Linked DNA regions of Neodiprion lecontei. The protein of the gene in region 1 interacts with the protein of each later gene in a biochemical or structural test. Links are inferred from orthologs where the notes say so. Each region holds a gene or a part of one and is shown in the gene's direction. Other genes may lie near its edges.

Region 1 (10,064 bases):
ACAGTTTTCGAATGGCCCGAAGTACTCTATACAGGGTAGGCTTGGACAGGCTTTTGGAAAATAAGGATGATTGCACGATGAGGAAGCTCTATGGTAATCGTCTATTCCAGTTGACAAAACGAAGTACAGGTTCATAACGATAAGTTAATAATAAAAATTTTGACGAATTAGCGAATCTGAAGATTCCCGCAATCCCCACGATTTATTATGAAAATAGTCAACACTCCAATTCTGTTTGTTTTACTCATTGAAATTGATTTGGAAAGTCGGTTTACTTCCCTAACGACTCTCGACTTATTCTGGATCTCGCTGGTGGGGCCAGGGTTGATTATTTATTCATACGACGTCAAGTTCAAAGTGTACGTTTTTGAATTAGTTTAATTATTGAAGGTACAACGAGGATTTATTATTTCTCCTGATACGTATTGTCGTTTGAGTGCATGCTATACATATATAGCTATCGTACATATACTCGTATGTACATGTACTACGTATTTATGTAAGAACGCGATTATGGTTATAATCTCGCTGTACAACAATAAAGAAGTATTCCAGATCACAGAGATAAGGCTGCTCAAAAATATAATACGTTACAAAAGTTTGTGCCGTTTAGTTAATCAAGCAGATTAATTGCGGTAACGTTGCCGGTTCAGATGACCTTGGAGTCGCAGTATAATAACGAGCATTTATTTGTGTAGCACGCCCTTCGCGTATCCCTCCAAAGCTTGAGCTTGCAATAAGAGTAGGAATTTATATTCGCACCGTTGTGTGCCGGTAATCATTATCTGTCAAGAGTTGCCGCATACCCTTATTTAACTGATTAACTACCCCAACAGCCGGCTACCAATTATTATTAATTATTCCGCGAACTTTTCAACGAACTGGCAGTATTTATGATCACCTGCAGCGAGCCTGACTTTTTCAAGGACGTACAGATCGGAAGCATATATTTATAGTCCCGACCTGCAGTTGTTGTTAATATTCAGTTGAAGATCTGGTTCACTTATCCCCTAGGAACAAGCATTATCGCTGAATTTACTTTTTTTATTTTTACCATGTATGTGTCGGCCAGCATTGATCTTTACCTTCGGCTTTGGTAGCGGCGTGTACGTGTTATACATACCCGAGCACAAGCACGCGGCTTACTTTACAGGAATAAGGTAAATAATTTATAAGGCTGGATAATATTATCCGATGCGATCCCAGGTAGATTTTCACAGGTTTTTCTACACGAAGTGTATAAACGCGCGAATATTTCAGAGACACATCACAGGTACGTGTTCTCTGTACAGTGCGCGCTGCGTTGATGGGCGACGTCAGCTGATACCTGCGATGACACAGTTACAATAATCAGGCCAGGTAGCTGGTATATACGTGTAACTGAATCGAAAATCGCGTGGAATGAAATTATTGATATTTATGATTATGTCGTTATTCACGATGCCCCGTTTAGGCTCTAAACATTGATTACTTTTAGGTACGCTGACGGATTTTACACACGAAAGCTTTACGTCATGCTATATGTTTTATACTATAAACAGATAAAATGAGTAACAGGCGTCTATTATTCCTACACTTTTTCTTAAAAACCCAATATTTCAACCGGTGTATAATCGTGTTTGAAATACTACACAATTATAGCAATGACAGCATCTCCGCTGATTATCTGTTATCTGATAAAAATCCACACTAGTCATCCGCCCTAACGAATTTCTCCCATGCTTATCTCTATCAGCAGGTAGTCCCCGCCTTGTTACCTCTTCCATTTAACGGTGTGACTACAGTGTGACTCAAAATTACATAACAGGCTTTCAGAAAAGAAACACGTATATACCCATATGATTCACGGCAGATAATCACCGTGTGCATGTGGGTAGTCAACACGTCAACGTTATCACGTGTATATAATTATTATAGACTTTTCATAACGAAAATTAGACATGAGATGAAACGGCTAATGGGTGGGTGTTCGCTAATTTTTATACACTCAGACGTGTTTTCTTCTGAGCACAGTCATTATGCTGGATCATTATTACTTTATCACGTGTAATCGGAAATGTATACTGAATTATATGAGCGTATAAGCATATAACGTGTGAGTTCTAGTTTTGTACTGCACATTGATCAAGGAAAAATGTGTTCATAATTAAAATAGACATTATCATGCATTGGCATTTTTGACGTATTTTCCAAGCCTAGATACGTTTCAAAATAATGATATATCAATGTTTATTTTGCACCAAATAATTTTTTCAGTTACATACATAATATATTCGTTCCGATTCTAGATATCCAAACTGCGAGTGCACAGATAAAAAGGTCTCAACTACAGACGATGTGCTCTTTACAGTTATATGATTTCTCGTCTATTTCGCGATTATTTCGTTTCATACGACAAGATAATAGTTTAAATTATAGAATGCTTTCAGAGTCAATAATAAATATCGTCAAGCCTGCATGTTCGTGCGCTAGACCATTGATAAATATAATCGTTTTAAGATTTAACTCACTTCTCAGGAATCTCTAACGAGATTATGTCCTGTGTCGCATTGCGCGCCCGCCTGCGCATAGCCAATGCGCACTGGGTATGCGGTTTGAACGCGTCTCGATAGACGCAAAGAAAATTTCACCCCAAACCATTATATTGCATATTAGGAATTTACGTCGTTTTATGCAACAAAATTTCCTCGCTTTCAACCTAAATATTTTCGCACCTAAAAATTCGCATACTGTAACAGGTAAAAATAAAGCGATAATATGGAATGCAAAATAATGAAGAAAAATTTTAATTCTCATTTGAAAAACTTTACTTTCTATTGTCGAGACGGCTTGCAGGCTAATAAGAATGAAATTCAACTTAGAAATTGTTTAAAAATTCTCAGCTGCGAGGATTTTACAATAATTATACATCGTATACATTTGAATGCATAATATGCGGCAGCGTTGGTGGTGGCGAGATGCCGGCGGGGTACGTAAATATAACAGAAGGATGAAAAGGGCCGAGAGGAATGAAGGAACGAAGGACGCAGGAGGATAGGAGGGATGAAAATGTAGGGACGCAGGCAGCCCGGCAGCGCACGCTGCAACCCCAGAGCCAGCTAGCCCTGCCAGCACCACTCTGACCCGTTCGCAAACTGTACAGGCTCTAGTGGTTGACGCATTGCAGGTGCGTAGCAGCCAATCAGAATTGAGCTTAGTTTGGACGTTAGACGAGTCGACAAGGAAGTCTTGTAAACAAGACCGCACCCAGCGCTTATAAAGCCTACTCACATGCGCGGCTGAAACTTAATCCGAACTCAGACCTCGATATATATGGTTCATCGGTGAATAAATGTATGATAAATTATTATTCCTGTGTTTTATAGTTTTTTCATTTAATTTATAAAAACTTTTTCAAACACCGCGCAAGTTTTATTCACAGTTATGTGCGACATCGCTATCGTGGCGTAGTAACACAGTATTGCCTGGACGACTGAGAGACCCTCTCTTCCATTATTGTCCGAAGTGTATTTCGTGTCAGCGGCGCTGGTTCGTAGTGGAGTTTGTGTAGTGTGCCGGTAATATCTAGGAGAATCTGCAATGGTGAGTTGTCGATTAATCGTATTCAATATCATTTACCTATTCGCAATCATTGGAATATCGAAATTTCGACAACTTTCACAGATTTTACCCGCAACATAGTAATGGAATCCGGCCGATTGCTCGCTGCTCGAGATCTGTCTCTATTCGACATTCTAGCCGAATTATGTACTGCGTTTTATTCCGTTATATCGTACGCTAGGCTTGCCTCGATTTTATATATACACATATGTATATACACATAAATATATAGCTACAGAATTATCGTTAATAATTAATCTCATTCTAATTGAAATGAATCCGACGTAACTTGTGGTCTATCAAAATATCGGTAGATCTGATCAATCTACTAGACACTGTAAAGAATCAATTTGTCACCGGACTCTGGTGTTGATGAAGGCGTTGTACCGTTAAAGGTTCACCAGTTGACAGTTCTTACCGGGTCGCGACTCGAGGTGCTCTCGTCATCGGCAATTGTGAATGCCGGAAAAAATTCCGCCTACCTCGCAAGAATCATGCCAATTTTAAATCCCGCTATTCTTTTTCTCCATTTTTCATTTACCTGCTCGACGTTCTGTTACGTTGCTTTACAACATGCACGTATTCCGATGCCCAAACGATAATTTTCAGTCGTATAACCATCAATATATTACATCATAACAATTATTACCGCTCTAGACGATCGACGCAATTCTACGGTGAGATACTTGTATCATGGTTCTAACAATCTACCACCGGGAACACTGTTTCATTAATCTGATCTCTACCGTCCTAAATTTCTTCGAATTCCGTTTTCTCATTTCGTATCATTTATCGAGAAGCCTATATTTATACACATACGTTACCCACGTGTAAGCGGAAATTATGTTAGTCACAAAATTTCCACCTATTCGTGCTCACTCGTGCATAATATACCTGTAAATAGAACATCATTCATATTTCCATGTTCACTGGATTCTACGATCATCGGAGTAAACGATTAAATAAACAAATAAATGAATACAAGCTTGCGCACGATGCTCCATATAAAGGCCGGTAAATAGTATGGCAGCCTTTATGGCGGCCTTATACACCCGCTATTGATTTTCGTAGTTGCTCAGTACAGCTCTGTCATGTCCTCTTCTGTCTCTCTTTCTCCCTCCGGTCCCGCCGTGCTTCTGTCCCTCTCCTCCCTCCCCCCAACCCCCTTCTCGCTGCTTCCTGGTCCCTGGCTGCCACCTCTTCTCCTTCCTGCCCCTCCCCCACCCCCTCTAACCCCTCCCCTCCCAACCCTCGACCCGTTGGCCGGCGCCACCCCGAGAATTCGCGAACCTGCCACTGTGCGACGTTGTTCGGTTCACCTGCAGCGTTTTGCCGCAAACGGCAGAACCGTTCGAACCTTCGATTTGTGAAGAGTAGTGAGGTTATTTTTTTCATTTCGTTATCACCGAATACCCTAAGCCGAAAGGTTTTAACAAGATCGCGATATGGTACGTCTATAAATATAATTTATACATGTGTATTCGTACAAAGATTTTGTCCGATTTTCTCCGACGCGTTTATTGATTTTTTTTTTTTTTTGCCTTCACTTGATGTGATAGTTTCATTTAAAATACATTGGGCAAAGTACAGATAAGACTAAAAATCGTTAACAAGAAAATAACATAGACGCATATGTTTCTTAAAATCAGATTAAGAAGATAAATTTTCGGGCTTTACTTGCTTGGTGGTGAAAATAACTTTCTTTACTTTAATATTAACTTATACTTATTAATTAAAATGAATTATAAAATACGTCTAAAGCGATGATCTAATTGATTGCTTAGGTTCTGGCACAGGCTGTACCAACTGCTATAGAAAGCGTGTTTATTGCTGAATGTGAAAGGTCGAAAAAAAAAAACAAAAAACAAAATTGTTCACTGGTAGCAGTATTTTATTTAACCAGGTTATTGCATGCTGCTGGATAGTGTAAAAATTTGCTTATCAAAATCTGGTTTAAATCATTATCACTGACACTTGGCAATTTTTGGGACTACTATTTGGTTTATCTGATAATTTATAAAATCTATCCTTCAATCAGTTGAGCCTAATGCGATTAATCAATAAATAACAGTCTGACATATTTATTTTATCTTTGAGGCGTGACTGTTGTAATACTACCAGTGATTACCAGGAATACTATTGAAACGTGTCTGCGATCAAAGATATTTATCTTAGACATTTTCATTTTAGCGATTTTTAATGCTGCTGATCTAGCAAACTGCAATATGCATGAATGAAACTAATTGTAAGTTATTGTTATGGTCATTTATTGGTCACTGAGTTTATATCGGATGTGGTCAAGAAGTATTTTGCATATTAAAACAGTTCACATAAATGTAGAGAACTCTCGTCCATACGTATAATACGTATAATTCTTGATTTTTATGTACAACTGCATCAAAACTCCCACATGAATTTATTATAAACTTATAGCCTGCAACGTCATTAGTGGTGTACAGTGACTCAGAAGATACATTTCATTTACTCAGAAATTGTAGGATTAAATTTTATGCAGAATTCTTCTAATTTTCTTCTTGCACATTGTGATATTCTTAGACCTGAGTCCAACTGAGGTAGTAATAAACATATGCCCGGTTTTTATTTTTTTTTTTTTTTCAGCATTATATTGATAAGTTCTTACTTACACTTGTACCGTATTTAAAGCACAATTATTGCCCTGTATTTATGAGGTCATATAAATGTTATTTCATATCTATAAAATTTTATTGCAATGATTAGTGGTAAGGACAAAACATCCCAAGACTCAATTTCCATGCATCAGATCACGATTCTAATGGCAACTCATTGCAAAAGCGAATATCTGTAACGAATGACATTTACTGAAAGAATTCTTTGATAAATCAATTTTATCACGACTCTGATTAAGTTTTTGAAGCATAATGATACTAATGTCCGGACTTTGGAATAATCAACTCTCTGACTCGGAACCAGAGCAGATGCTACTTGAACTAGGAAATCTAAATAGTTGTAACAGACATTTTTTTCAAACAAACATAGAATCATTTGATGTTTCACAAATGATTTCAGTAATGACATTTTTTCTATGGAATATCGAGATCTATTCGTTCCCATTGGTTCTTTCTTTATTGCAAGTTCTGCATTCACCTAATAATGATGTGATAGATTTACATTTTGCAAAATTGAAGGCCAAAGTATTGTGAGTTTGGAATTCATATTATTGAAATTTACACCGTGAATTCTTCATGAGAGACTTAACTTTGCAGCCTGTGTTGAAGAAAGATGGGCATGTATTTAATTTTGGTGATATGAGCAGATTCATTTTGTTCCCTTTCAAACAAAAAGTTGGAAGGGCAAAAAAAAGTCGCCAGAAGAAAAATCTCCAACATGGAAATTTTGCAGTTTGTGTTCAAATCCTGTTGTGATCTACTATAGTCCTTTTTCTATTTTATTCGAATTTGTTCTTATCTCCCAAACTAAATACAGGCCCGTTACCAATTAAGGGCACACGGTTTTTTTTTTATTACAAAGACCATGATACGAGCTACAACATAGTAACAGGAAAATGAAATTGGAAATGATAAAGGTCACGGTCACATTAAAATGGTCAGGTATTCCCGCATCATATATTCCCTTAAATCACCCTTTAATTTAAAGAAATGTTATGACATGGCTCTATGTATTGAATGTAAAAACATTAAAACTTTTATACACAGGCTGACCAACTCACAGAGGAGCAAATTGCAGAATTCAAAGAGGCGTTTTCCCTCTTCGACAAGGATGGCGATGGCACGATAACAACCAAGGAATTGGGTACAGTAATGCGATCACTTGGTCAAAACCCAACGGAAGCAGAATTGCAAGACATGATCAATGAAGTAGATGCTGATGGTGTGTATTATTCAGTGCTAATTGAATTGATTTTTTGTTCATTTCCATTTATAATTCCCCGTGTATATCATGTCCAATAAAAATCCAGATTCTTCATTCTTATTTTATTTTTTACATCTTTGAAAATCATTTCAGGAAATGGAACCATCGATTTCCCCGAATTCTTAACGATGATGGCACGTAAGATGAAGGACACTGACAGCGAGGAAGAGATCAGAGAGGCGTTTAGGGTATTCGATAAGGATGGTAACGGTTTTATCTCAGCCGCCGAGTTGAGACATGTGATGACAAATCTTGGTGAAAAGTTAACAGATGAAGAAGTTGATGAGATGATAAGAGAAGCTGACATCGACGGTGACGGGCAAGTCAATTACGAAGGTAAATAGTCTTCAAACTATTTTCTTTCCGCTTGTTTTTGGTTTCACCTCAGGTTTATGTCGTGAAAATTACCGAACTTAGAAAATACATGAGATAATCTATCTTTTCGTCCAAATTTTGAAATGGTTCAGACATTAATGTTTAATGATCCACTTGTCTGGATATAAGACATTTGAAAAGACCGTTCTGGCAGAGACAAATGTAATTCATTCAGTGTTCTTCTTTTCTACCACAGAACCCACATGCGTTATAAGAGTAGCTTTGCTAATATTTATCTAACCTTTGATATGCTGTGTCCACAATTATTTCGTGAATGAAAGTGTAATACTACACGTGGAATTGCTTGACATGTTCGTCAAATATCTTCTACAAACATTCAAGCACGATCAAATATAATTATTTATGAGTGTTAATATTGCACTAGAATTTAGATAGACAACTTCCTGTAGTTTATCTACATTTTGATTGTTTAATGACTCAATTAACTTGCGTGAAATAATGCGAAAGTTTGTAATTAAATATACGTATTTATTTCTGTTCTTTGTTTTTTTATGTTTTACAGAATTCGTCACAATGATGACATCAAAGTGAATGCAAACGCATGTTTGGGAATAATTCACAACTAGGAGTGGTGTTGATAATGAAGTGAATACCAGAATATAAAGCTATCATCAACACTTAACATAATACTATAATAATAAGTAATAAAGATAATTAATACCAACCATCTTCATCGTCGGCAACAAAATCTTAAAGTATAAATATTGAAACTGCATTTCTGCTTTCCAGTCTTAATACATCGTGAATTGGAAATATTTAACAGTATCATGAAAAGTTGGAGTAGACCTTTGAATAAAGTTTGATGTAATTTACAAGTAATAAGTAAAGTACTATAGAACATTTGCGATAATCATCAAATTTTGTTCAAAGTTTGTGTAATTTTTTAAGAAATATATTCAAGTATTGTGTTTGAATTAATAATAACTCTGAAACTACCCTTCGTATCTTGTTTTAATTCTACATGTCCGTGTTTAATGGGAAAAAAGTTAAAAAGAGAGAAGAAAAAAGGAACATTATTTGAACATTATCTGGAATTTATGTATCGTAGTATTATAAATTATAACTCCTATAACGGAATCACATTCTGATATGTAAAAAAAAAAAATTACAAAAAATGTCCGTGTTAAATAATACTTCGTGGCATGATACTCGGCTCAATGTGACAGAGGAATGTATCAACCCATCAATAGGTTAATAGTAATTTAAAATAGTATTGGTTTATACTTTTAATTTATACATTAATATGTGAGAAAACGTAACGTAACATAACAAAAACAAGAAAAGATAACCAACAAACGAAATATTAATTAATGCTTGATTTTTTCAAAAAAAAAAAAAAACAACAAAACAAACAAAAACAAATATAAAGATATATTATTTATATATGCATATGTGTATATGCATACATATGTACATAAATAAATATATATATTTATATTTATTTAATTTTTAATACCATAATGATCACCACGTAAAGTAAAAGGAAGTGGGGACACACAGGGATCGTGTCTGACTGACCCTGTTAACATTCCTTCTCATCCCGGACTGTATGAATAACGCCCTCACTCGATTAAACCTGACATGACCAACATTTGACATGTTTGTAGACAAACAAACGAACACGACACACTTCTCCTCAAAATGAGGACTGCACTGCACAACATCAGCACCACTTTTCGAACTATCGATCGGTGCACTTTCTGGCACTAGTTTGACTATTGCACGGTTAATGGTGCAAAACAGACTGGTTGGCTGGAGCCATCACACGTCTTAATGTTACTTAACCAACGCCGATATAAGACCATCGGATCAGTCATAATACATGTAATATATATTATATATTAAATTAAAATTCCTCCACAGTCTTTATTTAATAATGTATTTGGTGACCTAGGTTGCATTGATTATAAAAGACAAAATAAATGTATCCTCATTTTTAGGTCACAAAATTGTCATTTCCTTTTGGAATTCCTTGCATCCTTTGAAAACTGTAGCTACCACTTTTTTTTTTTTTATCTTGATAATCCTTTACGAAGAAAGATCTAAAATAATAGACGAATAACCGTATTGTGTTTCAATCAATCTCCATCACGCATTGATCAATTATGACATGGCTTGCTGAGTCATGAAAATGTATATCCAGACGCCAGGCGTAT
Region 2 (7,102 bases), on another chromosome or scaffold:
AACTAATGTTTTTACCGCGACTGCTTCCAGCCGCGTAAAAAGAAAACGAGTGCCACGTAATTGCACTTGAAAAGACTCGGTAAAAGACATTAAAACTATAATCCTGAATTATTGCACTCGTTACAACAGTCCTTAAAACTCCTCCGTGTCCCAAACTGCAACGCGTGAAGTGGAAACCAGGTCCAGAATTCGATCTTTACTCCTACACATGTGACCGTCTATTTGACGTATTTCCCCGAGGTCACGACCAGCGGCAATTCCGTCTCTTCTCACTTTCTAACACGTTTAACATACGACGTAATCGCAGCGTGTCATGAGTCATCGGAGTGATAATAAAATCCGTTCACGTGTATATACAAGACGTAGACGAGTGAATGGTCGAGAAACAGACCGCTCCACGATCAGCTGTTCGATTCGTAGCGCGCGTGGGTTTAACTGTAAAAAAAAGTGCGGGCGCTCCGTGACCGAGCGGACAATCGCGACAGGATATTTTTTATTATATATAACTGTAGAAATGACGAGGGCAGACATTACTGTCGCAATAAACCGAGGATGATTACGAGATAAGTTCTCCTCCTCCTTCTCTACTCCGCGGGTCGACGAAGTGCTCGAGGTGTGACCATAAACCGCGTCCACCAAAGTCAGCACTCTTGCCGTCGTTGCACACGGCGTGGTTTCCTCCTCCGGTACCTTCTTTTCGGTCCCACGTTTTTTCGCCATGGTCAACGAACCCTTTCCGACTACCAGACGCGGCGATCTCGATCCGTCGAATCCGTTGCCCTCGCGGACTCGTGATTCTTGACCTTTTCACGTTCACGTTCACGTTCACGGAAGTTCTTTCGAATGTAATTCACGCCACTCGCACTGCCCGGGTCAACTCAACGTCGAAAGCACCTCCGGCTGGCTGTTGACACCACGAAAAACGCACTCGCGGTCAGCCATCCGTGTCTCCCAAGTTCCTGTGGCCCCCTGTCTGACCATTCGCTTTTAACCCATTGTACTATTCACTACCGTAGGACAATACGTACGTAGGCATTATCCGCATTTCCTGCCACAGGAAATCGACGTTCCGGTAGGAAATATCCGCCCGTCACTCCGATATTGAACAGCCCACGCCTTTCGCCGACGTATCGATCTTCGGATCTAAGGGAGCTTTCGTGAATAGAACTCAACCTTTCCGAAGAATCGAGTCTTGTGAGTCCCTCTTAGCTTATCGATGATTACGACTTGTACAGAAATTACCAAATGAAACTATCGCCACTTCTTGACTGCAACGTGATAGTATATGTATATATATGTATACGCGGTATTGCGAAGCTCGAGTTCTTGAGGCGATTTCAGCCGGCCTGAGCGGCGTACATGTGCATTCTAGATGCTCCGTTATAATCATAATTGAGCTAATCTCCCTAACGGCCGGTCGCAAGCAGCAACGTAGTGGATATTTACTGTTGGACTCTTTTCGAACCGGTTTTATACCCGCCTTGGTCGCATCTATCGGTCTCCGTCGAAACGTTTCGTTTTGACAGATAGTAACCCGTTTGAAACTGCAGACGAGAATAACGCTCCCTGTTTCTGGTATTCGAAGGAATATTCCAGACACGCAGTCATTCGGAGCTTCTTATCAAAACATTATCCGACGCCAAGATACCGCAGCGTTCGCCGTTTACATCATCGACCACCAGATACGTATATTTCTGGCATTTTGAATATCCGCATGACTGAAATACGTATAGAACATCCGTTTTTGACTGAAGATTTTTCGTGTTTATACGTGTACGTGGAAACCCTCGATATTTGAACTGTTAAATCACATTTTACCAAGTTCCATTTCTGCAGTTTAGCAGTTTCACTTTTTTTTTATTAAATTGCCATTGGTGCGGTACGTTACGTAACGTCAACAAATGTCAGCGCGATATTTTCTGACCTGAATTCGATAATGTCAAGCGTTCTATTCGTAACTTTGTATTCGAGATGTTGAGAAATTTATAACTCGTTGGAGATTCACTTTGTCCGTGAATTCTAGTGATTCGATAATTTGCGAGTACCTGGTTAAAAAACATTTGTTGCAAATTCCATCTGACCTGCAGGTAAAACTGAAAAATTTTTCCTTCTAAGAAAAGAAGACAGATTCGTACATAAAATTAATATCGCGCTGAATACTAAAACGTTATCGCCGACTGACTTTACGAATTTATTGGCAAAGCGAAATATCCATGTTCCGCAGCAGTCAACGACCGCTAATACGAGTCTAGGCAATAATTTGACGCAATAGCTTGGCAAGCATTCGATGAAACGGTGAAATAATTCCAGCGAATAATGTCAGCCGTGGTTTATTTACTGCCTAGGTCTTTAAATCGAGTTACGTGAATATGAATTGATCAGGGAAAAGTTAAGATATTCCGTTATTAAAATCTATCGCAGTAATCTCACTGCAGGACACTTCGTTTGCTGTTTATTGGGACTGAAATATCAGCGTGAGATTCGTTTATAAATAAATATCTGTTTTTAAGTAATCATATATTATACCTATTGAAGGTCGGTGTTATCGAAATTACTGTCGAATCACATTGAGTACTTGTCAAAAATGAAAGATAATATTGAAACAGCGTCGTCGAAACCTCTGCGGTTTCTAATCTCATCGTGCCTTCTATATTACTTCATCCCTATTATAAATAAAACAGCGCGATATCACAGCCAGTAAAGATCAAGCCTCAAAATACCCGCGGAATTGTTTTTTGACCTGAAAAATTTGCCATTTCGTGTTTTTCTCACTTTAGCGATTCGTCATTACCGATGGATTGGACAATGAGACTCGCGATCGTGTTTTCTTTGTTGCGAAAAATTGAACGATCATTCTGCAAGCATTACGGGCTCTTTGGGACCGCCGACCGGTTGCTGAGCAGCCACTTTGATAATGCGATAATAAGATAAGCGGCTCGCGTTATCCGAATATCGCTTCAATTGTTCTCACTCTGCGGTAGCAAGGCGACGCCCGTCGACTAGTTTGAAGTGCTTTTCAGTTTGCTGCAGGTCGTGATTGTGTCAAATACTCGAGTGTTCCAAGTTTCCTGTTTCGGAGCTAAAACGCGGAGGTTGAAAAAAATGCCTCCGAAAAATTCGGCCGTCAAGTAAGCTAACAATTTTTTCCCCCGTAATAACACTATCCCTAATTTGACTGTAAATTACCAATTTCTCGAAGTCTCGATTTTGCAGACTGTAATTAACACCTGAGAATAATTTCTCGTCTTATTGTTTCTAACGGCTTAACCGTTAAGTAAGAAAAGTCCAAGTAGTACGCTTAATGGTGACAGCGAATTGAATATTGATAAAAAAAAAAAGTTTAGAACAAAGTTTACGCCAATCAGAAAAGACCAGCTACTGTAACGATGATAAATTAGGAAAGCGTAAAGAGCGAGGATTGGCATTAAGAAACAAAGTGAAAACACGGTGTAATATTATGTTGACAAACCGATGGGTCACGCGACCGTAAAATACAATTATCCGATCCGTTCGCCGGCAACGAGTGAAAGTAATTACGCACAATTATCAAAAGAATTGCGAGGAATAAAAAATAAAAAACAAGGCAAAATTTTAAATATTAAAATCAGGGTCTGACGGTCCTCTGACGTGTGCCGTTATATCGACGTTGAAGCAGCACTAGTGCTAAACTTTTACTCGGTCGATAGTACTTATAGCGCTCCGTCTTCATGCACGTATGCTTGTTTGCGAGTGTAAGCTGGAAAAGAAGGACAGCAACCCAGATATATAAGGAAATTACTTTATCGTGTGTCGGAGCATATTTGTCATAGGTTTTCCGCCACGTTGTAACGTTGGGATATTTTGCGAAAAGAATCTTGTGACTTGCATTATAATCGATGTATCGATTGCTGCCAATTAACGGTATTAAGCATTCTTTGATAGACTGATAATTGTGATACCGTCGATAATTAATTGCTGGTTGTGAGTTCGATAGCGACATTAGTGAGAGAGTTATCCTGAAGAGGTTCGTAAGCAAACAAGGAGAAAACGGGATCGAGAAACGGCGAGATAAGGGTGCTTTTAGAATCAGGTTTCAAGGCCTATAAGCTCAATACCCAGTAAAGTAAGCATCTTGATTAGGCTTCGATCTCATCGCGTTATATTGCGATAGATATAATAGATCGAAGTAAAGTTATTTTCGAACTCAGCCTGAAGCAGAGAAGCTCGCTGATTAGGAAAGACGAAGGTATAAAACCGCGTCGTCGAAGGCACATAGGTACATACACAATGAAATCCAGGTCAATCCCGATAATGGAATACCCAGATCTAACGGATGGCCATTGAATTTCACCGGCTATATTTAGACGGAGATTATAACACAACACTCGCGCACGTAAATGTCGAGAATCACATGACTCGCTTTTATACCGCCTTTCTTATCATTCATCAGCGATGACAGATACCCTCGTGTCCTTGCCACGCGAGGAATCTGTTCTAGAAAAGCGTAGAAGGTCTCTTGTAAAAGGATTCGTCTATCTTTAGCTCGGGAGGGATGGAGAACCAGCAGGTATGGGTCAGGGACCCACAGGAGGGTTTCATCATCGGCAAATTTGTCGACATGGTCGATGGTGACGCTCTGATAAAGCCTCTGGACGCCAAGCTTCCCCAACGGACATGTCCTTTGGACGAGGTTTACCCGGCTGGCGAGTACACAGCGGACGTGGAGGACAACTGTAAGTGTCAATTCAAGTACATTGACGATGCACGTTTAGGAAAATCGTTACTTCGCAGCCTTGGGATTGTCTGAAATTCAGTTATTAAATCATGAGAAAGAAAACATGTTCATATTTTGAAAAGCCAACTCTATGAAAGTGGTTCCAAAATTGTACAACGATTGATTCCATCATGTTTCGTCACGTTAACGTTACTGACTTCGACGTGGTTTAATATGACCGTTGTTTAGGTGCTCTGATGTATCTGAACGAGGCAACACTGTTGAACAATATCCGCACGAGATACTTCAAGGACAAGATATACGTGAGTTTTAAATATTGTTTAACAATCAGTTTTCTGTAATAGTTCGGTACAGTTTTTTGAAACCGTCGAATATTCACTCTGTTTCAGTCCTACGTCGCCAATATTCTCATCGCCGTTAATCCCTACTACGAAATGAAAGATCTTTACTCCACAAAGACATTGAGATCTTACCAGGGAAAATCCCTGGGTGAAACTCCACCCCACGTTTTTGCAATCGGTAAGATTTATCGTCGACTATTTTCCCGAAGGGTTTTCACAGGTACCCTGCTCTGTTTGCAGCTGACAAAGCCTTTCGGGACATGAAAGTCCTGAAACAATCTCAGAGCATCATAGTGTCCGGTGAATCTGGAGCGGGAAAAACTGAATCCACCAAATACTTGCTCCGCTATTTGTGTGACCTTTGGGGTTCCACCGCGGGACCTATTGAACAGAAAATTCTTGACGGTGAGTGGCGAGCTACGTACCGTGAAAACAGTCATTTCTACCCTTATTCGATCAGAGTTACAACCCAATCCTGTTCATCCTCTTCATGAACAGCAAACCCGGTGTTGGAGGCGTTTGGAAACGCGAAGACTAAGCGGAACAACAATAGTTCTCGTTTCGGTAAATTCATGGAGGTTCACTTCGACGCCAAGTGTCAGGTCGTGGGTGGTTACATATCTCACTATCTACTAGAGAAGTCACGAGTCTGTCTGCAGAGTTCGGACGAGAGAAACTACCACGTCTTTTACATGATGTGCGCCGGAGCGCCGGCTGACCTCAGAGCGAAACTCGGCATCACTAAGCCTGACGATTTTCAATATCTGAAGAATGGTTGCGGCCAGTACTTCTGCAGCTCCGCTTCGGAGAAGAAATTGAACAACGCTCAGAAGAGCAAGGACCAGATCAGTAAGGGCAGTCTCAGGGATCCGATACTCGACGACGTTGAGGGATTCACCGCAATGGACCAGGTATACATTTTTTCTTAGATTTTATCAACAGCGCCATCGATCTCACATTTGGCAAGAGCTTGCAAGAGCTTGCAAGTCTCCTAGCACCGATTTACTGGTTCCCTTTTCATCGGCACTTTGAGAATCATACATCACCACTAACATGTTCTTGTTGTTTTAAAACGCTGGATATGGATTTTGTCTCGTCAAATAGGAGAGAGCAACGGTAACGAACGACTTCCGTCACTCCGTAGGTCTTAGACGACTAGCGAGTTTAGTGGATGGAAATTTTTTCTAGAAAAAGTAGGAATCCTGGAGGCGCTCAACATTTCCAATCGGTGCTGAGTCTTTTACTCTGTCTTTTATTGTTTCCCTGAAACCAGGCTTTGACGCGACTGGGTTTGACGGACGTTGAACGGATGGAAATCTACACGATGGTGGCGGCCGTTCTTCACCTCGGCAATATCACATTCGAGGACAATCCGGAGGATACGAAAGGCGGTTCGAGGATTACAGCAGACTCTGAAAAGTCCGTAGTAACCACAGCCACTCTACTCGGCGTCGACGCTGACGAATTGAGGCAGGCTCTGGTCTCAAAAGTGATGCAAACCAGCCGCGGCGGCATCAAGGGAACGGTTATCATGTGAGCATTGATGATTCTGCTTCTTTAATGTGTCTAGGTGGTTTATCAATAACCTTGCGGACTTTTCCAAGGGTGCCACTGAAGGTCTACGAGGCATGCAGCGGGCGCGACGCGCTTGCTAAAGCGATTTACAGCAAACTATTCGACCACATTGTCTCGCGCATAAACAAGAGCATTCCATTCAAGGCTTCCAGCTACTACATTGGTGTACTCGACATTGCCGGGTTTGGTGAGTTCTCTTATTCGACGCTTCGTAGCCCTACGATGCAGCAATGGGTCGTTTTCATTGTTGAGAACAATGTATTTTGCAAATTTTCAGAGTACTTCCGAGTCAACAGCTTCGAACAATTTTGCATAAATTACTGCAATGAGAAGCTTCAGCAATTTTTTAACGAAAAAATTCTCAAGTACGAACAGGATCTCTATGCCAGAGAGGCGCTCAACGTACCAAAGATTTCCTACGTAGACAATCAGGATTGCATAGGTGAGCTCACTGTCAGGAACTGACATGAGT
Region 3 (7,773 bases), on another chromosome or scaffold:
CCAGGGCAATGGTAAACCTCTGTATTTTTTTGTCAACATCAAGCATATGGTCCTCCTCCAAATAAGATTTTGAATAGAGTTCAATATTCAACTTGGACAGCAGATTCCTGTTTTGTATATTACAGCTAGGCTGACTGAGTATCTTCTCGAATTTTGCTGGAACTATTTTATTGTTTAATAATCTAGTCAGCACGTGTTTAACACTTACAGCTTCATTGGATGTGAAAACTCCATACCTGAAATTTGGAAATTGCATGTTAGACAGACAACAAAGTCTGCAGACACGTTTTACATATACCTGCCCAAGTAATCTAGGACTACTTCTTTGGTGATACTGGCAGCGCTTGACTGCTGAGTGGAGTCTATCACGTTGTCAGTAATTTTCAAATGCTTCAGTGCTTCATACAGCTCTTTGTCTTTAGATGAAGGATTCAATTGATGGACTCCATAGTTGATGTCAATCCAAAATAAAATCAGGTCAACTTTATTCCTCATTAATAGATAATCCCAAACAATTTGGCTCGACAAATACTCTACCAATTCTCCTTGGAATGTATGAAAGTATAAATCCGTACATATGATTATCTTCAAATCTTCTGGCATCTGGATAATCTCTTCAATTGACTTATTGGTTATAGGATCATCTTCCACGCTAGAATTAGAAAAAACTAACTTTCCTAATGTAAATCATGGTATATTTGATAAAATAAGTTAACTCAAAGCTTTTGCATTTATGCAACAAGTAGAGTTAGTAAAAGGAGAATTTTTGAGCCAATTTTCTTTTAAATCACACGTACAAATATTTGGCCTTATAGTCATTCATGATGTTAAAAAGCTGCCACGCTTTTAATTCTGATGCCTGGAGCCCGTCTATTTTCCTCAAATGTTGTACCAAGTAATCGCGCAGTTTCTGATCTCTGCTATTGATGCAAATGACGTTGATATATTCCTTGGGATTTTTTCCCTGTAGTATTAAAGAATAAGAATGATAGTGAGAAAATGATCAGCTTGATCAAAGATAGATGAGAGAGAACTAAAGCTCACCGCATTTTTTAGTATGTGGGTGGCTCTGAAGACTTGCTGTTTGTCAAGCAGCTCCTTTACCCAAACGTCGACCTCGCGATAAAAATAAGCTTCTGCCTCTGTAAGTGGGCAGTTTCTCCTTGTCGCAAGACATTTTATGGCCAAATTAATGTGCGTCCCTTTTGCCGATGCTTCTCTGACTATCTCACGGTCCCCCAGTATACGCCAACCTGACCAAACACCTGCCAATTCACCCGTTAGACACTCGACCGGAATACCGCCCACAGTATCCATTGTTCAAACACCATTTGATTAACGACAATCACAGGGATCGTGAGATAACAGGATGAGCTGTCAAACGGGGCAAAGTACTGCACGTGACAATAGTACAATCTAACCTAACCTTTCCTCCTTTCCTTTACATGAAAAAATACTTGCATATTTATCTTTCGTTCTGGGTAATCGATAACGTATTATAGATCAGGATTAAAAGTTTTTCAGATTTACTGACAGTTATTCTACTCGTTGACCGATCGACAATTGACAACTGGTGGCAGCCATCTTGATACAAATCCAAGCCTGGTAACATTTTTCATTTTACACTGGAAACAGCGAGAAGCCTGAAGACCTAGGAGCGTATTACATTTTTTCACTTTTCACATTTCCCACCATCGAAGAATTCTGATTTGTTGACTAAGCTTTGCAAAGTAGTATGATACACACGGAAAGTTTCAGATTAATTAGTTTTGTTGATGTCATTTTTTTAATTTTCAAAGTTTCCTCCCATGTGAATTTAAATTTATAAATTAGGATCGAATAGGGATGAAAATAATTTCCACGCTAAACTACGAATTTCATTTTACGATGTTGACGAAAATTTTTACGATTTAGTACAGAAATTCGAACGCGTGCGTAGTTTTGGCGTAGAATTCTTTTGTAGATCATTGTATGTACTTTTTCATAGATTTTCGTAGATTTTTTTAATCTGCTCTAAATCGTTGTCGTTTATTTTTCGTAATTTTCGTTAATTTTCTAAACTTTTTGGTCTTGATATTCGTAGAAAATCACAGTATTCCGTAGATTATTGTACTTTTTTATAAAATATTGTAATCTTTCGCAGATTATCGTAAAATGGTACAATTTTCTTTTAGTTTTAGCACTTGATATTCGTAGTTAATCGTAATTTTTCGTATTATAGAAAATTATGGTATGGCTCGCATTTACGTGATCGTTATTCGTATAGTTCAAATGGATATAATGTAAAATATATATTGTGAAAATTCTGATATAGAGAAATAACAAATGTTAATCTTTTCATTATTCATTCATTTGTTGAACTGACAGGTGGATTTCACGAAATAACTAAAATTTATTTCTCTATAGCAAGAATTCTACGATATTCTACAACACATTATATATCTATTTCAAGCTTTCATATAAGAAAAACGATCGTGTAAATGCGAACCGTTCTATAATCATTTATAATAAACAGCTATAATATACGAAAAAGTATAATATTTCACTAACGAATACGATAATCTACAAAAAATTCTAAGCTCAAACTACGCAGGTGTCCGAATTTCTCTGATTAATCGTAAAATCGGATTCATAGATAAAAGTAGAAATTATGTCTACCGGAGTACAATTGGATCGAATTGAAATTGCATTACAATTCAAACAGAAAAAAACTAGAAAGCGACTAAATACGTAGGTATGTATAATAATAGTATTAGTATTTCATTCTTGTTATTACATGTTGTTACATGTTATTATATTATGTTTTTAAGTGTTCAACATTACATTTCACTCTTCCTAATTCTTGGTTCTTCACTTGAATATACCCTGTTTTATACTATTACGATTCAATTGTTAAATGCAATTAATCACAACAATACAAAGATTAATTCATATTAATATTCTTATTATGCAATCAGTTTTCTTGTAAAATTCGGATTAGTGGCTATCCAAAAAATCTGTCTCTTTTTTTCGTTTGCGTGAGATATGCTTGAAATCTACACCATATAATCCACATTCCTGAGGTAAATATTTCCGTTTACGTTGAAACGACGCTCATCAGTCGAATTTATCTTAGCCCAGGCGATCAAACAGCCAGCACGCACATCTGTCGTGATTTAAAGACATACATACCTATGTATGTATGTATGCAATCACGCATTCGTGAAATGTGAAATGTATACACGCGATCGTAAAAGTGACATTTGTGTACAAGATGGCGGTTTTCGGGTCGACGCTACGCGTGCGTAATGATTTCAGGGTCGTCGAGAGCGGCTGTCGGAGTATGATTTTTAGTACATCCGTATTAAACGCGGTCGAGTGTGTTCGGTGAAGGTTTAATCGATGTTAAATATCAATCGAACGTTATAGCGGTCGGCCCACGGTGGCCGAATGATTACCCTCGTAACCAAATATGCACGAGAGGCGATTGGAAATCGATCACAGCTGCGTAATCCGCGAAACGTCACCAGCTATCCCCGATCATCCACCTGCTTTTCGTCCAGTTAATACCATTCTAGTATGTGAACACCGGGTCTCTGAGCCGAGAACCGGGTTATGATAACAGAATAACGCGGGCTCAGACTCATTCTGAGCCGACCTAACGACCCCATCGCTATGTCTGTCAATGAGCCACCCTCGGCCGATGACAACTTCGTCGTCGCCCCTCTAATCAACAGCATTCCCATACCCACTCAACCGACCACCAGAGGTGGTCTCAGGGTTTATAAAATTGTTGTACTGGGAGATGGCGGCGTTGGGAAATCAGGTAAGACGTCGATCGAGACGAGAGGCTAAACTTGCGTGACCATTAATACTACTGGTTTTTCGTTTCAGCTGTTACTCTGCAGTTTGTTAGCCACAGTTTCCTCGACTATCACGATCCCACTATAGGTGAGCTATAAGTACCCAAGTCGTTGGCGTAGCAAGGATCGTTTCATGTTAATGTTTTCAGAGGATTCGTACCAGCAGCAAGCAGTCATTGACGGAGAAGCCGCTTTACTGGATATCCTGGACACAGCTGGGCAGGTGAGTCCTCCACCTACTTTGCTACGAAGTAGATTTTCATCTAATGACAAATGTCCATTACTCATTGCACCACCTTCTCTCCTCTTAGGTTGAATTCACCGCTATGAGAGATCAGTATATGAGGTGCGGCGAAGGTTTTATGATCTGCTACTCAGTTACAGACCGACACAGCTTCCAGGAGGCGATCGAGTATCGTAAACTAATCTCCCGTGTTAGAGCCCAGGAAGACATTCCTCTGGTACTAGTGGGCAATAAATTTGACTTGCAGCACCAGCGCAAAGTGAGATTTGTTCGCTTTTCAGTCAACAACTTTCTTCGGTGATACTGAAATAACGTTATTTAAATCAGAAAGTGAATTGTTGAGACAGATTCTTGCTCTACTTTTTAGGTGACTACTGAGGAGGGTAAAGCACTTGCTAGGCAGTTGGGATGTCCTTTCTATGAGACATCTGCAGCTCTTAGGCACTTTGTGGATGATGCTTTTCACTCGCTAGTTAGACAAATTCGTGCTAAAGAAAGGCCGCAAGGAGCGAGTCGAAAGCACAGTCGCTGGTGGCGTCTCAGGTCTATATTTGCTTTTGTATTCCGCAGAAGACATCGGCACGCTGATCACTATTCACCCTAGTAATAGCATCTCTCAGTCGAAATTCGTGGCACTTTCTTCTCTGAGATGATGATAAGGGGAACAATAATTATTTGAGAATTGACTATAAACGACTCTTCCGAAGTTGTTTGATGACCATATTCAGGTCTTTCGTGAAGTATTTTTCAATAGGCAATGTCAATATACAAGACATAATTAATGTGTTTTTTCTCTTTGAGCAGAGAGACATATTCATGTGTAAAAGTAGTTTTCAACTCTAGTCATTTACAGAATATTACTATTCACTAGTCATTGGGTTGAAGATTTAAGTTTTTTTAAATTTTTTTCTAATTATTGTTTTTTAGATACAGAAACAAATACAATACACATACAGTATACTTGTATGCATACATATATTTATTAACTTCGTTTACACACATGTTTAATTACGTTAAATTCACAGTTTATTGTTATAGGTGTATGTATGTACAAATAACAGCAGAGTAAATATTATTAATCATTGAATTGGAGTATAACTCGTATTGAATACCTGTGCATGATTATCGTAATTTTAATTTCTCTAACACAGAAGAGCATGCTTAGTGGGTATATGTTTAATCTGCACAGTTTATTACTCGTAGGAGACACGAAAGATAAATAATTAAAAGCTTAATTTACCTATCAATATGAAGAAGCAATCAGACCCTTGAATCGTCGCCTGACAATAATCAAATTGAATAAATTAAGCATTACGGTAGAGATGAGTCTCTTATAGTTTTCGTATAAAAAATAGTAATAGATATGCTGTTATTGAGTGCTTGACTTATAAAGAGGAGCCACAAAATAAAGTTCAAGTTAAAAACATTAAATAATGTTGATATGCAGCTACGGTTTAAATATTATTTTTCTTACTGTTATTATTATTTATTATAAAAACACTGAAGATGTGATTTATATTTATACAAACAAATGATATATAATTATTATCGCGTACATAAAATGTATGTAAACACGTAAATTAGATAAGAATATGTTTACCATATTTGTTTACTGTATCGCTTAATTAAGTAATAAAAGAAAGGAAAACATGCACCTCTAGCTTCACTAGCAGAATATTATTTGTCAATAAAAGAATCATTCTCAATATAGTGTACCTCATGCAATTTATAAGTATACCCTATTTGAATACTGTATGTACCAACAATGATGTACGATATAAAAATTGAGCAGAAGAAAAATGAAGTATTTAAATAACCAAATTTTCCACGATTACAACTTGTAATATAACTCGTGGTTTTTGAGGAAAGAAAAATAAAATGTGTATAAAGATTTAAAGCTGACCATTCTGTCCGTCGAAATGTTAACTACAGTATGTATGAATATCGAAAGCAAAATAATGCGGAAAAAATTATTTATTTTTATATGTTAATTATTACAGTTCATTCTCTACGATATATCTGTCAAAGTATTTCAGGGTGTTTTGCATTTCTTCGTATCCCGCCAATCGACACGCATCTTGGAGACAAAGCCATCGGAATTCCTGATGCTCGGACGATAGTCTGGCGTCCTTATTTCTGTTTATCAGCTCGGCAAGCCAATAAATAACTGTTTTTGGTTTATCATTAACGTTGTAAACAAGCTCTTGTCTAGCGTTGTCAAATATTTTCAAATCCTCGCGCGACAAACCAGCCTCTTCTTCGGTCTCACGCAAGGCGGTTTGTAAATCTGTTTCACCAGGATCCACGTGACCTGCGATTGTCAATTGTCATGAATAAAAATTAACAGATTAGGAACAAACGCTTATTCCAAATCTTTTCATGAATATAATATCAAACAACCTTTCGGGGGAGTCCAGTGATGAATTCCGTACGATGTCTGCATCAATAAATACTCAACTTGTCCGAAAAACCTACGAAATATCACGAAACCGCAGGCTCGTGGCGGCGCCATCCCCGTGTTTCACTCACTGATATATAACTACACTATATATCAGTGGTTCCACTGTTTCTGAAAATTAGATTGCTTATACATGCACGTATGCATGCAAGCTTCACCGACTAAAAGAGGATTTTCCGTTCAGACCAGGTTTAAAGCTGCTTCCTGCTGGTCTATATCGCGTTTGTCAGTTTTCACTGGTGAAAAGAGAATGAGAATCACGCCACGGCGCTCATTAAAATAAAGTTCAAGTTACATTGATTATGGTTATGACCGACTGCAGCAGCGTCACGACTACACTGATCTCTATTATACAATAGGGATCAATGTGCGTACAGCGTGCGAATCATGCGAGACTACGGAACGGGAGGATACTACAGAGATTATTGGTAGGACTTAAATCTAAATCATCAGCGCGTTAATGAGACGTAGAAAATTGATTATCGGTTGTCAGGCGGATCGTCAAGCTGAGGTTTGAACTCGATCCGGAGACACCCGAGCAATATTTTCTGCAGTTTTGCATATCGAACATCTTCCATATAGGTTATAACGGGTTTGATTGTAATTACTATTATTGTTATTACACGATCCAGGATAATTCTGGGGATTGGAGTAGAGAATTGAATTTAATAAAAAAAAAAAAAACTTCTGAGTGATTCCTCACGGTACTTAAATCTGTTGATGTAAGAAATCACAATCATCGCAGCTAAATGATTGTACAAACATTATTCAACGAATGAGGAATACCAATAATTTATTCAATCAATTTGAATAGAACAATACGTTACATGCATCTTATGTTAACGTAAGCAGGAAATTTATTTTGCACTATTCAATAAATATAAATACCTAATACATCTTCGTGTGCATACAGTGTAAACAAGTATGTGAAGAATAGTTTTCAGATGTTTTGTTCTACAGGGTCATTTATCACAGTTTCACTAGTGTAATAAAAGTGCAAAAAAATTCTAAACCTTGTATTAATATTCTCCGCACTATTGTAGAGGTATACCTGAATTATTTAAGAAGTTCTGTCCACACTGTGCACGAATATTAAAATGAGACAGTTGAATTTTCAGGCATGGACTCTTATAAAAGACGCAACGAATATTGCGTTCTGAATTGAGAATAATTAGTTAAAAATAAGAAACTTAAACAAAGAGCTGTTGAAACTACTGAGAATATATGTA
Region 4 (7,087 bases), on another chromosome or scaffold:
ATAATGATGTAGTTAAGTAATTTTTAAGGGTTGTATGAATTGCATAAGATAGGCGTTTACAGTATTGAGTTAAAAAAATGTAAAATAAACGTGGCTATAATTATAGGTAGGTGAATATGCATATATGAATATGTAATAAAAAGGCAATTGACAGTTGCCGGTGAGAAGCCTAGGCAATAATTACTGTGCCGTTTATAATAATAAAAATAACAAAAACAACAACAACAACAAAAACAATAATAATAATAATAACATTGATAACTGTAAGATAGTATTAAATAATATAAACAATTTCTAGCTCATAAGAGTTTAATTAATTTATTTATTATAAGTTTATTTAATATTTAAACATACACGTATATGTATATGTTCGTACATATATTATATATCATTATATACAACGTCAAATCAAATAAATTGTAACACCTCTTCTACTCTGCAGTATTATTAGCCATAATAAATACTACGCGAAAGGCACGACTGTATACTGAAACGTACAATAATAAAAAGAGTTCCTTTATAAAACTGCTAGTGAACTTCTGGCCTCAGCTCTTTTCTCTAATCTCCTCAAATGCAACCTCAATCAAAACACCCCTGGCTGACTGAATCCCCGGCTTTTACCCATTCAAGTCTTTTCCAGGATCCTCATTCGTTTCTGTAAGCGACAGGCAGTAAGCCTCTTCGACTATTTTCAAGCACTTATTCCGTCCTGATCTAGTCATAATCACCATGTTAACTACGCTTCCCTGGATTCAAAAGCACTTCGTAAGCTCGGTCTACCGGAAATGCAACGGGACCGATAAACACCCTTTATGTTCGGGTAAATACATTTCTATGAAGTGTATCGACGTCTTTTAGCTCCATCGTTTTCTTTCACAAAACTAGCAGGTTTCAGTCGACAGCGAAAGTAAACTTTCTCGCATTCCATAAAACGTAGAACCAGCGACACTCGACATATTTCACAGAATGATTATTGAAATTTTTATTGATATAGAAGGTATTCACCGGCACAAATTCCAAATGTTGTTTTATGAAAATTTAAGAAAGACTAATATATCTCTCGAGTCTTAACCTGCATCCAGCGATCGTTGATAAAACTTGCTCCTCACCGAGCTCGACGTTGGTATACCTATGGTAGGAAGGCACACACAGCGTGGGCAAGATCGATCGATCGCCGATTCACGAGATACGATGGATCCGAGATCCGAGATGCGAGATGCAAGATGCGAGATGGTCTTCCATAATGTTTATTCATTAACCTGAGCTTTATATTTCCGATGCCTTTGATTCGCGCCGCTTATAATCGAAGTGTGACCAGTACACGGTTTATCGTACGATCAGTGATACGTCTTGTAGTTGCGCACAGCCTCGCCGAGATACGTAGGAATCGCGTACGCACGGTACGTATACGTACACTCTCTCAATGGCCCTCGTCAAACCGCAACCCCTTATTGATTTTGTATGAGAAAATAAATACCGGATGGTATTCCAGTGTTACGTAGGCGAATGGGAACGCTGGAACGTTGGAATACAACGTGCCTAAGCCCGATGGTTTTCGGCCCGGGTAGGAAAATGTAAATTTGAAAGGATGATGAATGCCTCGTGGGAGGGAATACGAGAATATCGTAGACGGAGAGGGTAGAAGAAACTTTGGTATAAAACGATGACGCAGAAAAGTGGGAAGGAGGAAGAAGTGTGGATAAAAAACCGCGAGTATAAAGCTTCGAGCCTCATCCCTGTATCTTGTCGGTACCTTTGACGAGGCTTAGCTCGTCGCAAAAGAGTCGCCTCCTTACCTGCAGCGTGGAGGTTAATGCGAATAGCGAGAGATGCGAGTTTACAGTAAAACACGTTAATTTATTGAGACTAATATTACCGAGACGGCAGGCACGTCAATGCAGACTCGACGGACGCGAGAAGTCCTTCGGCAAGCGAATCAAATAACTAGCTGCAAGATTAATTGGGCCTGTTTTTGCCCCGAGTGTCTTCTCGTTTACTTCGTGCGTCGGCCATGCAGGAAACTTCTCAACCTCCGGACATCGGGATTATAATTCAGTCCTGTTTCTGACGAAACGTCGAATATGAGTCGGTGCGTTTGCGTGCTAGAACATCAATCCGACTCTGCTCTTCCACTGCCGATGCAAGAAGTCCCTGGCAGGCCTTTCTACCGGGAGTCAAGACAGCCTTCGTCGCGCACGGTTCTAAGTAAGGAGACTCGGTACACCGAGGTAATTACCCAGGACTTCGTACGCATTTACAGGCACGTACGACTGTACATTTTTGCTTACTGTTAGATCGCTTTTAAGCCGATTACCCTCTCGGCAAACGAGGTCGTCCGTGCAGGGTAGGTTAGGCTATGGCCGGGCAAAGTCGGCTAATATACACCGCTTTCACACGCTTCGCTGCTTATTAATTTTTTCATTTTTCGCGTTTTCCAGAAGACCGTAGCGGAGTAGGAATTGACAAAAGATTGTTAAATTTCCGGCATATATGCTTACTTCACGTCCAGAATTCACGTTGATTTTTTTTTATAATTTTCAAGTGATTGTAAACGAAATGAAGTCAGTTTCTGCAGTAGGTACTCAACACTCCGCACAGTATTTATAATTTAACAGTAAAAATATGAAGCAGTAGATCGAAACAATTATTGTGTGATTTCTCGTGCAAGATGGTCTGTTTCACTCATCGTGAGGAAATTAACAGTCTATAACCGGTGTCTCAAAAAACCGTTCGTATATTACGGCGTCGGTTATTGACGGCGACCAAAACAGGGACGAACAATAAAGAAATAGGTTCAGAAAAATGATTGGATAAACATTTGGCTAATGGCATTGAAAATTTATCAGATAATGGAAAATTAAAAGGATCGGTTGAAAGGTCTGCGAAATTGCGAGGGAATCCGCCGGCCTAGCTGCGCGGGGGAATGCAAAAGTCGAAAATGGTTAAATGTTTCAAGGGAAAGGAGCTTGGGAGAAAGAGAGTGAAATCAATGAGCTAACAGGCTTGTGAGTTAGCTGTTAGTTAATTAGGTCCGCCTTATTGGATCATGGAAGCCAAGCCGGCGTAGGGAACGCCGGGCGTCGGGGCGGCCGCATTGCGAGGGTGGACGCCGCGGACGCCGCGGGGCCTGCAACCTGCCAGTCTGCCAGACGTCTTAATTAGAGGTGAGTTTCGTCCTCGGAAATTTAAGGGCACTTCTTCTTATACATACCGTACAACCTCCGTCTCTCTCCCATTTTTTCATCTCCGTTGCGAAATCCACCCGAGTCTGTGCATTTCCGTTTCATTTCTTTTTCAGATATTATACGTTTCGTTTTTATCATTGTGAAAGAAAAAAACTTTGTACTAAACACCGCGGGATAGCTGAATGATGTTGAAAACGTGTGCGATGCTGTGCATGGCATGAAACGGAACAAAGGATAGGGTGGGGTACAAAATTGTGAAAGACCAAAAAGTCGACGGGACGAAATCTCGAAAGTCAAACTACCGACAGTTGAAAACGTAGAAAGACCATAAATACGAGACGATGACTTGTAGAAAAATAAGAATTGAGAATGCAATCATGTATAAATAAATTAATATCGATTTTTTTGAGAATGGCCACTACGAAGAGCAAAATATTAAATTGCGAAAATACCAGAGTCAAGAAGACGACTTTTCAAATGTCAGACCCGTGCCTTTGTCAAAATTCTGCGAATTTGAATTTATCAATAATGACTGACCAGACTCGAAAGATCGGAATCCCGAAACCCGCTAAAGACAGAATGGCCAAAATGTCGAAAAGTTGGATGAATCAGAAACACATATAATTATTCTTTGCAACGCCGCACGTATCCGATGAACATTGTCTAGTGCCATCTAGCATAAGTCTGCACAACTATAACAACCTTGTTACGGCCCTTCGACTTTCTGGCCCTTCTACATTTTGCGGATCGTAATTTTGCTCCTTCTGAACTTTGATTGCCGACAAGTAATATTTTCGGTTCTGCGTCTGTTCAAAGTATCAGCCGCTCTCAAATGTTAATTTGGGAACTTTTATTTGTCTGTATCTCAACATTCTGTGCTTTGTTCATTCGGAATACCGACTGTTCGGAAAATACTTTTTTGGATAAGAGAGCGTTCGGTTAAATGAACTTTTGGGAAAACAGTTATGCTACTGGGTGATTTATCGAAAATCCCAACTTCGGTACGCTGATAATTCGTTGTTTTAAAATTCTTATCTCGAAAATTTCGGCTTGTTGACCAGTCGAATTTTTGGTCTTTCGGGACTTTGACCCCCGCCCAAAGGTTATAGACTAATCCTGTCCAATGAACACGTTTTTCTTCGCAAATATGTGGAAAAAAAACTTCTTTTTAAACTATATCGTCCCCGTGATCTCGGTTGTTAGTACAATAATTAACGGCGCCGTCACTCTTCTTCTCTCTCTCTTTGTCTTTCTTTGCGTCTCTTTGCGGCGTATTTCTCTCTCTGTTCGTGTCTCCCTAGAGAGGTATAAGGTACGAGATATCGCGTTCCTCGACGCGCGTCGCGAGGTGCCAGAACACGTGTTCCTGCTTGTTTTGCTCACCCATAGCCGACCAAGTTTGACGTATCGATGGTTCCCTGTATCGATCTGTGGCCAGCAGGAGTGAAGAAAAGGCTGAAAGAGGACGCGGGGAGGGAAGAAAGAGACCGGGAGGAACGGTGTCTGCGTTGCGGTGTACCGAGAAACTCAAAAAACTAAGACGTGCGAACTTCACAGAACGATCGTCCAAGTCGTCCGGAGATTCCCGGGACTGATTAAACTATATACTGTATAATGCATACCGCGGTAAACGGCCGCGTGCACTCCCTGCATCGCAATGAAAACATAATCAAATTAGTTGTTTTTCATCGGACCACTCTCGGACGGGTAGAAAATATTTTATAGGAAATAATTATCACCGGGTATAAACTATTTTTACGCCAACTAATTGTTTACTCGTCGATATATAAGTATATACGTTATACATTTTTCTCTACCTTGGTCGGTTTTTCAATAATTTTTACTTCATCCGTCTCGTCAAATATCGCTGAGCTAAAACTTTGGCGTGTTGAAAAAATGTCCAGTTCAAGGAAAAGTATTCTCCGTCTGTTGTTAATTTTCAGCTGAAAAAAACGATTACAGAATGAGAATCGTACTCTGTATTTTAATTTTTTGAAATAATTTTGAAGCTTCACAGAAGTTTTTCGATAACAGATTGATTTCCGCATCGGTTATGAGATAACAAGTAAGGATCATCCTTAAAGTGTCGATGTGGGTACCTCTGCATAATCGCACGAAACTAAAAAAGATCAGGATTCAGAATGAATATAGATGAGGGATCGGACGCGATTCCGGTGAAGAGGTACGAGGACAGGTTTCGAGGTGAAAAATTCATTGAGGCGTTAAATTCCTCGGATGTAACCGCGAACTCGGTAAAACAGTTCGAAGGCGAATCATCAGCCAATTCATTTATTCCCCGGGTTCGCGACTTATTGGCATAATCCGTCGATTTATTCGCAACCCGTGTCGCGTGTAATGCGACTTTTTGCAAGATGTAATCGAACCAAGCGACAGACCCGTCACCGCCAACAACCCCCCTCGTCGCTCCCTCGTCACCGAGACCACAGCAGCTCCTCCTCCTCGTCCTCCTTCTCTGAACCCCGCGCAGGATAGCAGAAAATTCAAACTTCATCGCTCCGCATATCTGCGCGCGAGGCAAAGACACGTTTCTTCGAAAAAGAACAAATGTCGGTGCGCGAATGATTTTTCAACACCGCGTCTGTGAGTCATTTCTAACATAGATTTTCACCAGTTACCTATTCGGTGACTTTATTTATCCGAACGATTAATCTCGGTGTCTCAAATCCGAATTTCGAATTGCAGGTCACAAAGAAATAATATTTTTCAATAATATTACAAATATGACTGCACGATTTTTCTGTACATTTCTATATTTTGATCTTTCGCGTCGAAAACGTTGCTCGATTAATTCATGCATCGAAAAGTCGAGCTGAATAATTGCCGAATTGTGAATTTTTACGGTTATAACGTATAACGCTCTCGGCTGTTTATTCGAAATATAAAATCGCCTTGATTAGAAATGTGTAATCAACGAAACGGAGAGCAAAACGCACGTAAGGTCGATCGCGCATGAGCGAAGGGAGAACGGTGATGTTTGAAATTTTAACGGGATCCAATTAGGGAATTACGTGAATGCTGGGGGCATGTTTAACGAGAAGCGCGATAAATGCTGAGACGAGTCGCACGAACCGGTGAACAGATTTTCGGTCAATATCTAATTGTAAGTAAGCAAGTGGGTGAGCTTGCAGGGTGTTGCGCATGTCGACTTTGCAAATCGAAATTCCCTGTACCTTGTGTTTCCCTTTCTCTGTTGTTCATTTTCCCTCGTACTTCTCTGACTCTAGTTTGCCTTGCGTAACGAGAACTAGCTACTAAACGGATCTAGGGAGTGACTTACGAGGCCTCACAAGGGCTCATAACCGTATGGCATCGGCGCTGTCTCGACGGGATCTGATTCGGGATGAAAAATGACGAGAGCTCGGGGGGGATTTGTCGTTTCGACTCTTGTCGATGGCGTCCCAGGCGACCGACTAGTGACTAATTAGTTATTAAGTGTCTGCGTAATATCGGGGTGAAATCGGAAATAATTAACACTCGCTTTGAGAGCCGCGGTGCTTCTTCCTGCGCGATGCTTATAATGCTTTGAGGGACAATTCTGCCGACGCGCGACGCGAGGGTCACGTCGTTCAAGTATTCCCGGAGCTGTTCCTCCTGCTACTGGAGCGTGTGTAATTTTCTTCGGTAACTCCGACATCGGGCAGACCCCCGCTAAGAATAAAGAAATACGCGGTACACACGGACGTATAATATATACACACTGGGTGTCTCATTCCACTCAACATTTCCCCGTAAGCCAATTATTTTCGTCGATAAATCCGCAACTGATACTGACAGCAGAATACGTGTTTCTGCCTCTGGGCTGTGATGCACTATTTTCAGAGGGAGAAAATGATCGGCTGAACCGAAGCTCGAATCCCAACACACAATGTAACATCAGCACC

Evidence for each region.
Region 2: the proteins of calmodulin (region 1) and myosin heavy chain 95F form a complex in vitro, tested with the Drosophila melanogaster proteins (2 studies listed by BioGRID). The link is inferred for Neodiprion lecontei from reciprocal best matches to the Drosophila melanogaster genes Cam and jar.
Region 3: the proteins of calmodulin (region 1) and GTP-binding protein Rit2 interact in a test that uses a peptide from one of them, tested with the Drosophila melanogaster proteins (2 studies listed by BioGRID, with this or other methods). The link is inferred for Neodiprion lecontei from reciprocal best matches to the Drosophila melanogaster genes Cam and Ric.
Region 4: the proteins of calmodulin (region 1) and neither inactivation nor afterpotential protein C interact in a test that uses a peptide from one of them, tested with the Drosophila melanogaster proteins (2 studies listed by BioGRID, with this or other methods). The link is inferred for Neodiprion lecontei from reciprocal best matches to the Drosophila melanogaster genes Cam and ninaC.

Annotation. Positions count from the first base shown.
Region 1 is NC_060263.1:23,725,758-23,735,821, reverse strand, and holds calmodulin, read left to right. Parts: upstream 1-3,281; 5' UTR 3,282-3,579; coding exon 3,580-3,582; intron 3,583-7,295; coding exon 7,296-7,470; intron 7,471-7,605; coding exon 7,606-7,848; intron 7,849-8,410; coding exon 8,411-8,439; 3' UTR 8,440-9,080; downstream 9,081-10,064. UniProt on the Drosophila melanogaster protein: Calmodulin mediates the control of a large number of enzymes, ion channels and other proteins by Ca(2+). Among the enzymes to be stimulated by the calmodulin-Ca(2+) complex are a number of protein kinases and phosphatases.
Region 2 is NC_060260.1:6,605,552-6,612,653, reverse strand, and holds the start of myosin heavy chain 95F, read left to right. Parts: upstream 1-2,976; 5' UTR 2,977-3,102; coding exon 3,103-3,128; intron 3,129-4,521; coding exon 4,522-4,712; intron 4,713-4,942; coding exon 4,943-5,016; intron 5,017-5,103; coding exon 5,104-5,233; intron 5,234-5,295; coding exon 5,296-5,460; intron 5,461-5,553; coding exon 5,554-5,966; intron 5,967-6,328; coding exon 6,329-6,588; intron 6,589-6,659; coding exon 6,660-6,817; intron 6,818-6,907; coding exon 6,908-7,072; intron 7,073-7,102. UniProt on the Drosophila melanogaster protein: Myosin is a protein that binds to actin and has ATPase activity that is activated by actin. Together CLIP-190 and jar may coordinate the interaction between the actin and microtubule cytoskeleton.
Region 3 is NC_060262.1:22,202,977-22,210,749, forward strand, and holds GTP-binding protein Rit2, read left to right. Parts: upstream 1-3,235; 5' UTR 3,236-3,654; coding exon 3,655-3,805; intron 3,806-3,873; coding exon 3,874-3,930; intron 3,931-3,991; coding exon 3,992-4,065; intron 4,066-4,153; coding exon 4,154-4,345; intron 4,346-4,453; coding exon 4,454-4,690; 3' UTR 4,691-6,042; downstream 6,043-7,773. Other genes in the region: spatacsin, read right to left, coding at 1-236, 299-652, 798-964, 1,045-1,317; bis(5'-nucleosyl)-tetraphosphatase [asymmetrical], read right to left, coding at 6,081-6,397, 6,487-6,598.
Region 4 is NC_060261.1:32,100,071-32,107,157, reverse strand, and holds the start of neither inactivation nor afterpotential protein C, read left to right. Parts: upstream 1-3,118; 5' UTR 3,119-3,164; intron 3,165-7,087. UniProt on the Drosophila melanogaster protein: Required for photoreceptor cell function. The ninaC proteins combines putative serine/threonine-protein kinase and myosin activities. Essential for the expression and stability of the rtp protein in the photoreceptors.